3 linked regions of the Arabidopsis thaliana genome follow. The protein of the gene in region 3 interacts with the protein of the main gene of each other region in a pairwise test. Each region holds a gene or a part of one and is shown on either strand. Other genes may lie near its edges.

Region 1 (3,174 bases), on a different chromosome or scaffold from region 3:
CGCTTGCATGTGACTTGGGTGGTGTCTGTAATTGAGGGTTCTATGCTCTTTGCCGTTTATGGCTCGGGCCAGCAGTAAAATGCTTCCAGCTCTAAAGGTTAACGTTTCATTGGTCTCCACTTTTTGCCGCGCCGTCTCCACTTTGTGCATCATAGTGGAAACATACCAATTGGAGTGATATCTTCCATCCCTCCCACATTTTTCACCTCAATCTAAAGGATCTCTCATATTTTGGCATTTGTGAATATTCAAATCTGATAAACTACCACGTACCCCAAACAAGAGCATTAAGGTCACATTTAAATCACTATCACCTAACAGTCTAACACAGTAATAAATTCTTTCCGTTTCACAAAAGGTTGATAAATCTTTTAAACAAACAGATCCATTAATTTCTATCTCACTTAGAAGAGTAGATGCCTAAAACGAATGATACAATGAGTACCATCAAAACATGAATACCATAAAAAAAAAAATGAATCTATATAAAATCTGATGACAAAAAAAAACGAGTACTATCAAAACAGAGCACAATGAATGCTATAAAATTATTGGGTACAATCTCTAGCAAATTTCAACTTGAGACTTTTCTTTTATTTATTTCTTTATATACATATATATGAAACGATTCAATTATAAACCGTAAACAACAATTACCAATCAAGATTCTTAATTAAAAGAAAAAAAAATAATTTTAAATTATTAATTTACAATCACAACCACAGAGCCCCAACTTCCTTAAGAATTGGAACTAACTCACCGGAGATATGAGTAGCCATAACCCTATCTAACCCTCCAAACAACCTCCCTCCTACATAAACCGCCGGTAACTTCACCGTACCTCCGCCGCCTTGAACTCCAATATTCTCCAACTCACTCAAAACTTCATCTTCCCTCTCCTCATCAATCTCAAGGACCGCCGGATTCACTCCAAGTCCAAGAAGCAGCCTCCTCACCACATGACACATGCAACATCCTCTCCGTCCAATCACAATCACCGCGTTCTCCTCCACCACCATCCGAACTCTCTCGCCGTTTCCCTGCGTTTTAAGCGATAGCGGCCGCAGAGATTCCCCGACGGTTGTCGTCATGTTATAATTTCTTGCACAAGAAATCGTTCCTTGCATTTTCAAGTATGTTTTTAAAGATAGATACCAATTAGGAAAGGAAGGTTTTGTTATATATACATGAAGAAAGAGAGATCAGAGAGGAAAGTCTAGCGTCAACGATGGTTACGTAAGGATGTGCGTCACAGGAAGCTATGGGTGATGGTGCTGTTTACGTCACTGGATTGGAGTGGACTTAGTCATAGGACCGTGTCGTTATATCGTATCACATGTTTCACGCTGACTTTTTGGATCCCACTTTATTCTTTTAATAAATCTGCACGTTTTAATTTTGGTTCCTCTCTACTTTACATAATATTTTACTGCTTTTTTCATATCAATAAAAAATAGGAGAATTCTCAGAATTTATTACTATTATATTTGGGTTGTTTCGAAACTTTCGATAGATGGTTGTATACTTAGAAATATTCGCATGTGACGACCACATAGTGGATGCTTGCTTCTTTCGATCTCGACCATCAAAACGGAATCACCAGACTATATACAACAATTTTGGTAATCTAATACTAAAATTGTAGAAAACACAATTTTGTTTTGGGATTGCTAAATAAATACACTAGAGATGCTAGAGAGACCTAGCCTAAACTTTCGATATTTTCCGTTTTATCATTCAAGTAATTAATATAACATTTAGGTGTAAAGGTTAATAATATATATGACATTATATTCTTAGTGATCAAAAATCTAAACATAAACTTTTAGGAAAAAGACATATACTACTTTCCAAATTAATGTAACACGATCATGTCATATAGTAATGACCATGTTTGGATGAAAGTGGTAATTATGAGACGTGATTAAGTACTCTTGTTGAATCCTTCTTTTAAACCAATACTAAGAATAAGTTTGACATTATTGTCATATTATTTGTACTCGGACTTTCCGAGTAGTAGTGGAGCCTTATTAACTAATAATAATAATACGCATGACAGGAAAAAACTGAGAAGGTCATTTAGAAAGAACCATCGTCGAAGGATGGACGGTGGAAAAGTCGGTAGACGTCAGCACCAAGCCACCAACTAATTTGGTTTGTTTTAATGGAATCATGACGTCTTTCTTCTTTAAAACTCATGTCACCCATTTCTTCCTAAATTTGGACTATTATATGATTATGGGAATTGCATTTCTTTATTAAAGTCACGTGTCATCCTTTAACTTTATAAGTTCTTCAGGTTCCAAACTCCAAAGCCTTTCCAATTTTATCGTTCCACCAAATCCTGAAATGAAAGTTCAACATCCATCATGGTCCCAAAACGTTAAAAATATTTTAAAAAATAGAGTGTGGGGGATTTAAAAATTCATGACCGCTAGTAAAATATACAAATTTTCAACAAAACAAATTGCATGACCGCTTTGTTGGAGATATTATATTTACAGTTGCCTAACGTGAGAAGTTTGCATAACAAAACTAATCACAAACTCACAATATATACCATTCTTCTGTGCACCGGAAATCTATAACACTTAAAATCTTAAATGTGTAAACCCTAAAATTTTACCATACAATTTTTGAATTGAGAAAACAATTATTTGTTTTTGGTTTCTAGGATTAGTAAACAATCATTTATAGTAGCATCGGATTTTTCATGGACTATGAATCTTCTCAATAGACAGACTTAGGTCACGCTTTAACCAACAAAAACTCAGCAAGAGTGGTTTCTTTCTTCTATAACAAATGCCAAATATGCGTTTCAATATAACCATTTTCTATAACAGTTAATAATCAAAATTTTGTAACGTAGAAAATGGTCTTTATTAATACTGTCGTAGATTTGTAATAACTTATTGGGCTCTGTGGTCTCTTATTGGGCTTTATAAGATTCTCCAGTAGCCCAAAAATAAACTTTCAGCGAATCTCAAAGCCAACCGCAGGTGATGCGTTTTGCTATGTAAGAGAGACGAATCTCACGCCGGAATCTCTTTTACTTCACCGTCGTTTGTTCTCCGTCGCGTCACCTTTCGATTAATTCCTTCACAGGTAAGGAAGCTTCTTCAATTTTCCTCTTACATCAATTCTCCTTTCGCATTGATCCTTGTCGTTATCGTC
Region 2 (5,287 bases), on a different chromosome or scaffold from region 3:
TTGATGATTTCCTCAGGACTCGACGCTGATGATTGCTTTTTCCCGCTTGCCTTTCCGCTTACCAAAGAAGTGTCCACTGATAGTTGGCGTTGGTTTCTCACTAATATCAGAGAGAAGGTAACACAAAGGAAAGACGTTTGCCTCGTCTCCAGTCCTCACCCGGACATAGTTGCTGTTATTAACGAACCCGGATCACTGTGGCAAGAACCTTGGGTCTATCACAGGTTCTGTCTGGATTGTTTTTGCTTACAATTCCATGATATTTTTGGAGACTACAACCTGGTGAGCCTTGTGAAGCAGGCTGGATCCACAAGTCAGAAGGAAGAATTTGATTCCTACATAAAGGACATCAAAAAGAAGGACTCAGAAGCTCGGAAATGGTTAGCCCAATTCCCTCAAAATCAGTGGGCTCTGGCTCATGACCAGTGGTCGGAGATATGGAGTCATGACGATAGAAACAGAAGATTTGAGGGCAATTTGTGAAAGCTTTCAGTCTCTTGGTCTATCAGTGACAGCGAACGCACCTGCACATGTGGGAAGTTTCAATCGAAGAAGTTTCCATGTATGCACCCAGAAATGGTGCAAAGGATTGTTAACTTGTGTCATTCACAAATGTTGGATGCAATGGAGCTGACTAGGAGAATGCACCTTACACGCCCACTCAGTGTTCTCTTATCTCTAGACCTGAAACTAACTTGCTGTGTAATTCGAGTTACAAAAGGTTAAAGGAAGAATTAGGAAGATACATATAACATGAATGTTGCCAGAAGTTCAGGGAACTTGAATATTCTTTTGGTTCTTGGTGGAAAATATCCAACAGATGAACAATTTGACATTATTTCACACTTTGATTCTAGCAACTCTGTAACACCATCATGGGTTATTGTTGATGTACATAAATATATATTACAAATCTGTATACCATTGGTTCAAATTGTTACAACATTTGTTTGAAGCACACCTGCAGCAATAATACACAGGATGCAAAACGAAGAGCGAAACTATATGACGCCAACGATAGACATAAACAGTTACAGTCATCATGAAAACAGAATTATATGGTACAGCAAAAATTACACTAAGAGGCAAGAGTCTCACCGACGACGATGAGAGAGTTTACGGTTAGACCTCTTTCCACCGGTTGATTTCGATGTGGAAGAAGTCGAATCTGTCAGGGACGAATTTCCTAATTCCAAATTGTCCTCACTAAAGGCCTTCTTTAGTGTCTCTTGTATTTCCATGTACCTTTGCTTCTTTTGTAGTCGTTTCTCAGCAGTGTCGTCTTCTCCGCAAGCCAGTTGAGTCAAGTCCTCACAGTTCATAATCTGGTCGAGCACTGCCGAACAGCGCGGGAAGAATCGTTTCCCGAGTTCCACTGATGATAAAAAAACAAGGTCAGACAGCAAGTAACAAAACCATGTTTAAAGATCATTTAGTTTTGTTTTTTGTGATAAGGAGTCCGATGAAGTGGGTGAGAATCCATACCGGTTTTAGAAAGCGCTTTTAGTCTACTTTGATGCTCTTCTAGGATTCTGAAAGGTGCTATCTTTACACCCGGTGATGTTCTCTTCGTACCAGTGAGACGGTCAGGCTCGAGGCTAGTCACTATGAACTCACATGTTCCCTTCATTTCGGCGATCTCCATTGCAGCTTGTGCTTCCGTTGGAAAAAGACGTTGAGCAAGTGCAACTAAACAGTGGACGACACAAAGAATAGTTATCATTAGTTCACTCAGTTTCCTAATAGAGAGGACATAAATTTAATTCAAACATATAAGAAATAAGACTTGATAGATACCTCTATTTTCAAGATCGAGCAGCGTCATCTTCAATTCATCGGCCGCCACTGCAAAAGAGGGAGGAACATCTCTAGGAATTTGTTCTCGTTTGTCTTCTTGCTCTAGTATTTCTACACATAGTCGGCCTTTGAGAGAATGCTTGCATTGCTCCGGGATATTATTACATTCAACCGCCATAGTGGCTTGTTTTGCGATCATGAGTGCGGTTCTACCTTCCAAAGTTGCTTCTGATGCACTTGCACCTTTTTCCAATAGAGATAGTATCAATTGTGGCTCCTTCCGCATCGCAGCAACATGAAGCACCGTATATCCCCTCGGATTCCTATGGTTGACATCGGCAAGATCAAGTTTTAAAAGATCTGTTGCGGTCTTCACATTGCAATATGCAACAGCGAAATGAAGAGCACACGCATCATCTAGATTGGTGTGATCCTCTTTCAAAAGCAACTTGACTAACTCAATATCATCCGAGTCAAGTGCCTTATGTACATTCGAGACATGTTTCTTTACTTTAGGTACCTCCAAACCAAGCTCTTTACGTCTATCAATTATCTCTTTAACAAGCTCTTCCGGCAATGACTTTTCAAGACTAACCATATCTACATTAGACTTGACAATAATCTCTTTACATCTATCCAATAGCTTCATACAAGCTTTACCACATATATTAGCAAGCTTGAGTATAACCAATGTGTCCTCTATAACAACTTTGTCTACAACGTCCAATAAGTGCCTCTGAAATACAAATACAAGTACTCAAGTAAGAACATATTCATGAATGTGTAACCATAGCTTAATGCAGATGGTGTTTTACCTGATAGAGAGTAATTAATTCAGGGATCTTGAAGATGAAAGCCAAATAGAGAACCTCCAACATGAAATCCACCGCCGGCCGGCAAGCCACGTGGCAGCAATTCTCGTCTGCGCATTCAGAAACTCCTTTAGGCGGCGGTCTCACTCTGCTGCTGTAAACATAAGCCAAAACAGTCACAACCGAATCGAAACCGACTTCGTAATCCTTGGCAATCTCCTTAAGCTCGAGCTTCACGGCGGCGGTGTTGTTGGAGTCTTTCTCCTTCTTAGCGGCGGCTAAAGCGCTCTTGAAGAAAGAGCTTCTCGCTGACAAAACGCACCGGTGGAAAGAAACTTCCCGGCCGTCGGAGAGAACAAGCTTAGCGTCGCTGTAGAAATCATCCGGCGAGTCAAAGACGGATTCGAAGCTGTTGGAGAGCAATTGCAGAGCAGATACATCAGGTCCGGTGAGTACTTGTTCGGCGGCCAGATAAACAATAGAGGAGTCGGTGTTATCGGTAGCGACGAAACTAGTGCTGCTGATTTCATAAGAATCGGCGAATCCATCAATGGTGGTGTCCATCAACAGGTTCCGATGAATTGAAATTCACAAATTAAAGAGATCTCTGCTAATCAACGAAGAGACCTTATCAACTGGATTTGGTTAAAGATCGAAGATAACCATTGACGAGCAGAGCCAAGTCAAGTCAACGAGAGTGGTGGTGAGATATGAAGAAGCATCCTCGTCCCACGGTTTACATTTCACCAAAACCGGTAAATTTCCAGGAAAGGAATCTTTGTCAGAGATCTTTTTTAAAAAGATATAACAGGAAGCTAAACCGGTTCGGGTTATAAATGTTAGTATTTATACCGGAGACATTTTGTGTTGCTAATTTTTGTATATGAGAAGTTCAATCCGGTTCGGTAAGCCCCTGAACCAAACTAGATTTGGAGATGATATAAATATATAAAATTTATTTTTCATCCGGTTCGTTATTTTCATATAAATATATAAATATTATTTTTTAAATTTAAGAATTAGATTTACATGTGAAAGTTACATTTCTGTTTATTTTCTTTGAAGTAAAATGATAAAGGGAACGTATATTAAGTTTCATGCTTTATTCACATAAGTTTTGTAATGTATATTATATTTTTCGTTTATTGAAAAAGTAATTTTCAGTGTTCAGCATGTTTACACTATAATTAAATCAAGTCGAATATTTCCTGGAACTATTCTCCTTGTTCTATAGCAAATGAAAACGCTCTTCACAACAAAATCATTATAGATATAGGAATAAATTACATTAAAAACATGAAAGTCATAATGAATATATTTTTTTAATTAGGATTTGATTTAAAAACAATTATTGTATACATATAAAAGACTTCTTTAGTTATTTGCCTTCAACTTCTCGTTCTGAATCATGCGATAAATCAGCTTTTTCAATAACTACGACGTAAAAGCAAATTCATAACACGTCTAAACAAATTTGGCTCATCCTTCACTTGATTGGTGTTTTCCGGACTCGATGTTGCTGGAAACTGAGAAGAAGAAGGAATCTGCATAATCACCTCTTGGTTCCTCACCGGTAGACTCATTTTGTTGGATCGAAAACGATCGAGATCAGAAAATGAAAAGATAGGTTAAAGATGCCTATGAATACAACAACGTAAGATTATGTTGAATAAACAGAGTACTTTATATAGGAGTTATAATAAGGTAAATAAATTATTGCTTTCCGCGTTTTTTACTTTTGTATTTCTTAAATGATAAGTTAAATTAGGATAAGATTTGTATGATTTTAAGTAAATTTACAATAACTCTCTATAACTCAATAGCATCACATATTTAATTAATTTTACTAATTATCTTTTGAACAATTTTATGAAATAGTTTTCTTTTAATTAATTTTTTAAAATGATATATTATAAAATTTAATTGAATCAATCTGATATAATTTTTTTATCTTCTACCATCTATTATAGTTGATAAATATTGTGATAAACTTTAGATAAACACCCAATTGCCAAATATTTAATAAATTTTGTGTACCATGCGTTTTTTTTGGAGAATATATATACGTGGACAGCATACCGTACATATATTGTATAAAAGCTTATAAAACATAGATACGGGTTATATTGGTAAGCTATAAATATATGTAAACAATAGTAAGATATTACGTGTTGTGTCTAAATATGTGTTGCTTTAGATATTATTGTATATCTAATATATTAAAATATCTTTTATTAACTAATATATTATTTAAGAGAGAAAATTGGGACACTATTTTCTATACAGTAACTGTTTTCAACTATAAACAGGAACCCTTGATATAATAAAATAACTAGCCAAAAAATCAGATTAAATATTCATAAAACAATGTTTGGTATTATTACATAAACCTAAGAAACAAAATTCAATATTCCTTTTTACCTTATAAAAAACAATTAAACATCACTAGATATATTTATGCCCCACAATGAGCGAGCCAATTGAGACTTGAGACTTGAGATCCTTGTCAACTACGTTTGCATTTGTCGGCCCATTTTTTTTATTTTTTTTTTAAAGTGTCGGCCCGTTGCTTCTTCCGTTCAGATCAACCCTCTCGTAATCAGAACAAAACGGAAAACAAACGAAAGAACAATCAGATCCCTCTTTTTTTGCATAAACTAAATTCAACTTCTCTGCGT
Region 3 (4,529 bases):
TTCATTTGTATGAGTATTTTCTCTGACTCAGGTTGGTTATACATAGTATTAGCCAAACCTCTGTAAGCTTTATGTGTGACAGTGTTTACTGGGCAATCTTGCTATGATTTCAAGATACACAATCTGCTCTCTTTTTTGAACTCTCAATATAAATTGATTTGGTCTGCTGGAGTTTATGATCATACAATCCAAGTTCCTGAAAGGATCCCATCTTCTGTCATGTTGGTAATTGCGACCTTACACTGATCACCTATCCGCTTTGAATATTCAAAGACCTATAAACATTCACTCTATAAAACTATGCAACCTGATGGCTAAAAATTACAACACACACAACACTCGAGTCTTGCGGACCTCAGGAAACCAATTTCAAAACCTGCAGTCTTCTTTCCCAAAATATTGCTTTTGGTAAGAATCTGAGAATGCCTTGCTTTGTGATCGATCTCTTGGAAGGAGTATCCCTGCCGATCTGAGTCATAAGATTATGTATAGGGCTGACTGCTGAGTAGAGCACTATTCTTCTGTTTCACTCTCTTGGCCGGGCAAGCCACAAGGAACTAAGAGCACGTAATCGAGATGAATAATCGTGTATAGCAAGAAGAGCACGAGCTGACTGACGTGTTGTTAATACTCGAAGCATCTGTTGTAGTGTTTGCAGCCTCAAGTTATCAGCCTGCCACCAAGAAATGCCCTATGAACTCCATAACAGACGGATTCATATATAAAATAAAATATTTATCTCTTTGTGACGATGAAAAGATATGGTATATCTCGATAACATCCACATTTCTAAAGTACCTGGCGTATGAATCCTTCGAGGGTGCCTAACTGCCCCATTGCCATGGCCATCTGACCCATGTAGCTCGCGACATTATCCGATGAACTGGAACCAAGAGTTCCACTGGATAAAGTATCAGCTAGGGATTGCTGTAAACTCTCCATCCCTTGAGATAAAGCATCTTCTGCCTGCTGCGACGTCTGCTGCAAGCTATTGATGCCCATTACCTGTCGTTCTGTCATGGGCTCTAGCTGATTCGCAAGAAGCTGTTGTGAAAACACTGCGACTCATTAAGTTGGCTGTTCATCAAAATCTCTCTATGGACTTGGAAAGAGCTTACCTTGAGAAGTTCGGATGAGCGGAACCCGCCAAGCCACAAGAAACATCGCTCAGCTGGTGTTTTCCACATTCCAGATAACAAGTGGAAGACATCATTCTTAGCTGCATTGCTCTTAATCCTGAAAAGCTCCTCATAGTGAGCCATCACTCCATCCACAATTATCCGGAGCTCAGTATCACCTGCATGAGCATTCAGGGCAGATCTCAGCTCGTTCATTTGCCTGTTCTTTTCTTCAAGCCATCGTGAGTGTTCTGCATCAAATGCCAAAGCCCCTGCAGAAAGGCAAGTATACTAGATCAAGAACAAACCCTTGCAGACCTAAGCTAACACCAGCGCAAACTATAAGAAACTTCAGTTTTGACATCACCATGACTTTAATTTCCCATCCAGATCATCACTGACTCTTGAAACCATTAACTCTAACAAGTGTAAGCATATTGCCATGAGATGACTTATGCTATCACCAATTCATCAACATATATGTATATATGCACTTATCTCACATAGAAATTTCAAATCAAAAGGATCAATCTCAAAACTAACAGAGAAGAAACAACCCACCATTGCCACCAGTAGAATGAGCTTGGTCTCCTGAACTTGAGATGAAAACTCCCTAAAATTGAAAAATATATATCCTTAAGTGACAAATACACTGTCATGAGTCATGACAAAGAATCTGATAAGAACCAGAATAGAAATTCTCTGTATGCCATCAACATCCGAATAAACAGACCAGAAGGACCTATTTCGAGAGAGTTACCAGCTACTTTTACCCAACTAAACTATGGATGACCCATAATTCTGTTACCTCCTCTACTTCAGCTAACCCAAGACTAGTACTAACTCGTAACTGACTGTTAGTTATAAGTTGAAGTAGCTTCAGCCTTTTATCTTCTTTATAAAGACATACATATCAGAATCAAAACAAATAAGAAAGTTAATAAACCTGCTGTCTTGCTCTTTGCAGCTCCTGCTCAAGTTGAGTCAGCTTTAATCGACTATTCTCCAGCTGCTGAACATACGCCTATGGAGGAAACAATAACATGCTTAAGGTAATGACAGATAGATATTCTTCTAGAGATATTACAAGGAAATAAGAGGAATATATAAGAAAAATCAAAACAAGAACAAAAGCAAAATATACATACCTTCTTCCTCAATCTGCTTTTTCTTGCTGCCTCACGATTTTGAGCAAGCCTACGAAGGGTCTATGGATCAAAACGAAAAGGAAACAAAACAGATTATGCATATGCGTAATATACACAGATGCTAGTTGATCCACAGAGATGAATCTATCACCTTTTGATCCAACTTATCCTTTGATCGATCACTGGAATCAGAGGCAGCAGCATGCATATGCCCTCTATCAGACTGCATGTAATCAACATCAGGAATTACTGTTTCATTCAAACTATGCATGTTTGATGAACATAAGCAAATGACTAGTCCTGTGGATTTGGCTATACCGGTAGAATGCCCCAAGTTTTACCAAGGGATTCCGGTACAAGCCTCCCAGGAGTGACATTGTAGAGATAATAAAACTATAAAATGATTAGAGCCAGATTACGAGCTAACCCCCAGATCTCTATGATCTGTGTCACCATCAGTTGAGACATCAGTCCTTGAACTGGTATCAGCCATACTAGTTTCTGTACTAATACTTGAGCAAACACTATCCACTTGTGCTCCCTTTTGCAATGATAACCTTTCACCTCTGGTGCAGAGTTTCACACTAGAGGGAGGAAAAGCTGCCAAGAGGAAAGAGAAAAGATGATTATGAAAGAAATTAACAGATAGCAGAGAGAGAGAACTGCATCAGTTTGGAATTTGGGCACACTCACAAGTATCAAGTTATTGGCTCACGGAAACCAGCTTAAGTCACACTGCAAGACAACGGTTCAAGTACTAACATGGACTGAAACAAAACAGCGGATTCAAAATCTAACACAAGCGAGAACTAAGCTTATAACACAAGCGAGAACTAAGCTTATAGCAGCTGATCACTCAAACCAATAACTCATCACCAAGGATTCAAAATCTATGACTCTTAACAGAATTCAACAGACACATGAAATTCAAAGCATACTAACATTTGAAATCCATAAGGATTCATCAAGATAATTCGATGGAATTTGGTTGCTGAAAACGTCATCAAATGAACAAAAAAAACTTGAAACTTTATAAGCTTCTGAAAGTCAACTAAGTCTTAATTTCCAAAGGCAAATCACAAAGTGAGAAAAAGTAAGCTTTCCAATGACTAAAGTAAAACAAAGAAGGAGGAAACTTCAAACAAAAGAAAAAGAAAAGAAAAAGGAAAGAAACAAAACCCAAAAAACAAAAGAGCTTGAGTTGCAGAAAGCAAGAAGCTCACCTGAAAAAAACTGAAATCTCCTGTCTGAGTAAAAGGTTGTCCGAAATCGGATTGAAAGAAGAAGAAGCAGCAGAGACACGATCCGTAATTACAATCTCTGAGACGTCGATTTGTCTACAAACCCACCATCCCAAAAAGAAACATCGACAAATTTAACGGGAATTTGCAAACTAACCCCCCATACTATTCTTGTTACCCCTAACGAACTCTATAGTCTTAGCTTTACAAATATTACCCCATACAAATTTATTGAACCGGTTCAAACTGTCAACCGGTCCGGTTTTCTAGGCAATGCTGAAATCATTAAACAATAATTTGTCCTATGTCATGTGCAATAAAATAACCTGCAAAGCATTTTACATGGGACTTTGTCCCTTCTGGCCTTCCACGTACATTCTCACGTCAAGTGCCCAAGTGTTTTCAGCTCAAACCCTCAATTTCAATTCGTTAACCAGTTGGCAGTTGGTAATTGAAGGAGAAAACAAACTCTAAACACCTTTACATCCAAAGGAAAACTAAACAGATTAATTGGAACTGGTTAGAGAGACTAACCCGAATTGTCTCGGGTATAGATATTGCAATTGACCGGTTTATAGAACCATACTCAACCGAAAAGATTCCATCTTTGTTTTGGGTCAACGCCTCTGCTTTTGAGTTTTGAGTATATATAAAAAATGTTAAAACTCAAAAACTAAAACAAGAATGGCTTCCTGGATATTCAAGTTGCTGCTGCTGCTGCAATGTGTGCTTGTGTTGATTCAACATGCTGATTCAAGTTCTATCATCAGATATCTTCCTGGTTTTGAAGGCCCTCTTCCATTCGAGCTCGAAACCGGGTTCTTTTCCTCTGCATTTTCATTTCCATATTACCCCTATAATGTATGTATGACGCTGTGTTCTGAGTTTTAGAGTTACATAATGAAGGTATATTGGTGTTGGTCAAAAAGAGGAAGATCAACTGTTCTACTACTTCATCAAATCTGAGAACAATCCAGAAGAAGACCCTCTTCTTGTCTGGTTAACTGGAGGACCTGGCTGCT

What was found. Proteins that work in one complex are often made in the same cells at the same time.
Region 1: the proteins of TGA6 (region 3) and GRX480 interact in binary tests that used the Arabidopsis thaliana proteins (3 or more experiments, as listed by UniProt).
Region 2: the proteins of TGA6 (region 3) and NPR1 interact in binary tests that used the Arabidopsis thaliana proteins (3 or more experiments, as listed by UniProt).

Annotation. Positions count from the first base shown.
Region 1 is NC_003070.9:10,012,921-10,016,094, forward strand, and holds GRX480 (Thioredoxin superfamily protein), read right to left. Parts: upstream 1,337-3,174; 5' UTR 1,128-1,336; coding exon 714-1,127; 3' UTR 514-713; downstream 1-513. UniProt on the Arabidopsis thaliana protein: Has a glutathione-disulfide oxidoreductase activity in the presence of NADPH and glutathione reductase. Reduces low molecular weight disulfides and proteins.
Region 2 is NC_003070.9:23,852,235-23,857,521, forward strand, and holds NPR1 (regulatory protein (NPR1)), read right to left. Parts: upstream 3,425-5,287; 5' UTR 3,174-3,424; coding exon 2,613-3,173; intron 2,534-2,612; coding exon 1,798-2,533; intron 1,690-1,797; coding exon 1,486-1,689; intron 1,376-1,485; coding exon 1,095-1,375; 3' UTR 514-1,094; downstream 1-513. Other genes in the region: AT1G64290 (F-box protein-like protein), read right to left, coding at 5,160-5,287. UniProt on the Arabidopsis thaliana protein: Salicylic acid (SA)-binding substrate-specific adapter of an E3 ubiquitin-protein ligase complex (CUL3-RBX1-BTB) which mediates the ubiquitination and subsequent proteasomal degradation of target proteins.
Region 3 is NC_003074.8:3,904,581-3,909,109, reverse strand, and holds TGA6 (TGACG motif-binding factor 6), read right to left. Parts: upstream 2,760-4,529; coding exon 2,694-2,759; exon of another isoform or gene 2,660-2,693; coding exon 2,585-2,659; exon of another isoform or gene 2,538-2,584; coding exon of another isoform or gene 2,490-2,537; coding exon 2,418-2,489; intron 2,327-2,417; coding exon 2,267-2,326; intron 2,143-2,266; coding exon 2,065-2,142; intron 1,732-2,064; coding exon 1,680-1,731; exon of another isoform or gene 1,431-1,679; intron 1,391-1,430; coding exon 1,119-1,390; exon of another isoform or gene 1,045-1,118; coding exon 799-1,044; intron 674-798; coding exon 527-673; downstream 1-526. Other genes in the region: SCPL15 (serine carboxypeptidase-like 15), read left to right, coding at 4,192-4,325, 4,414-4,529.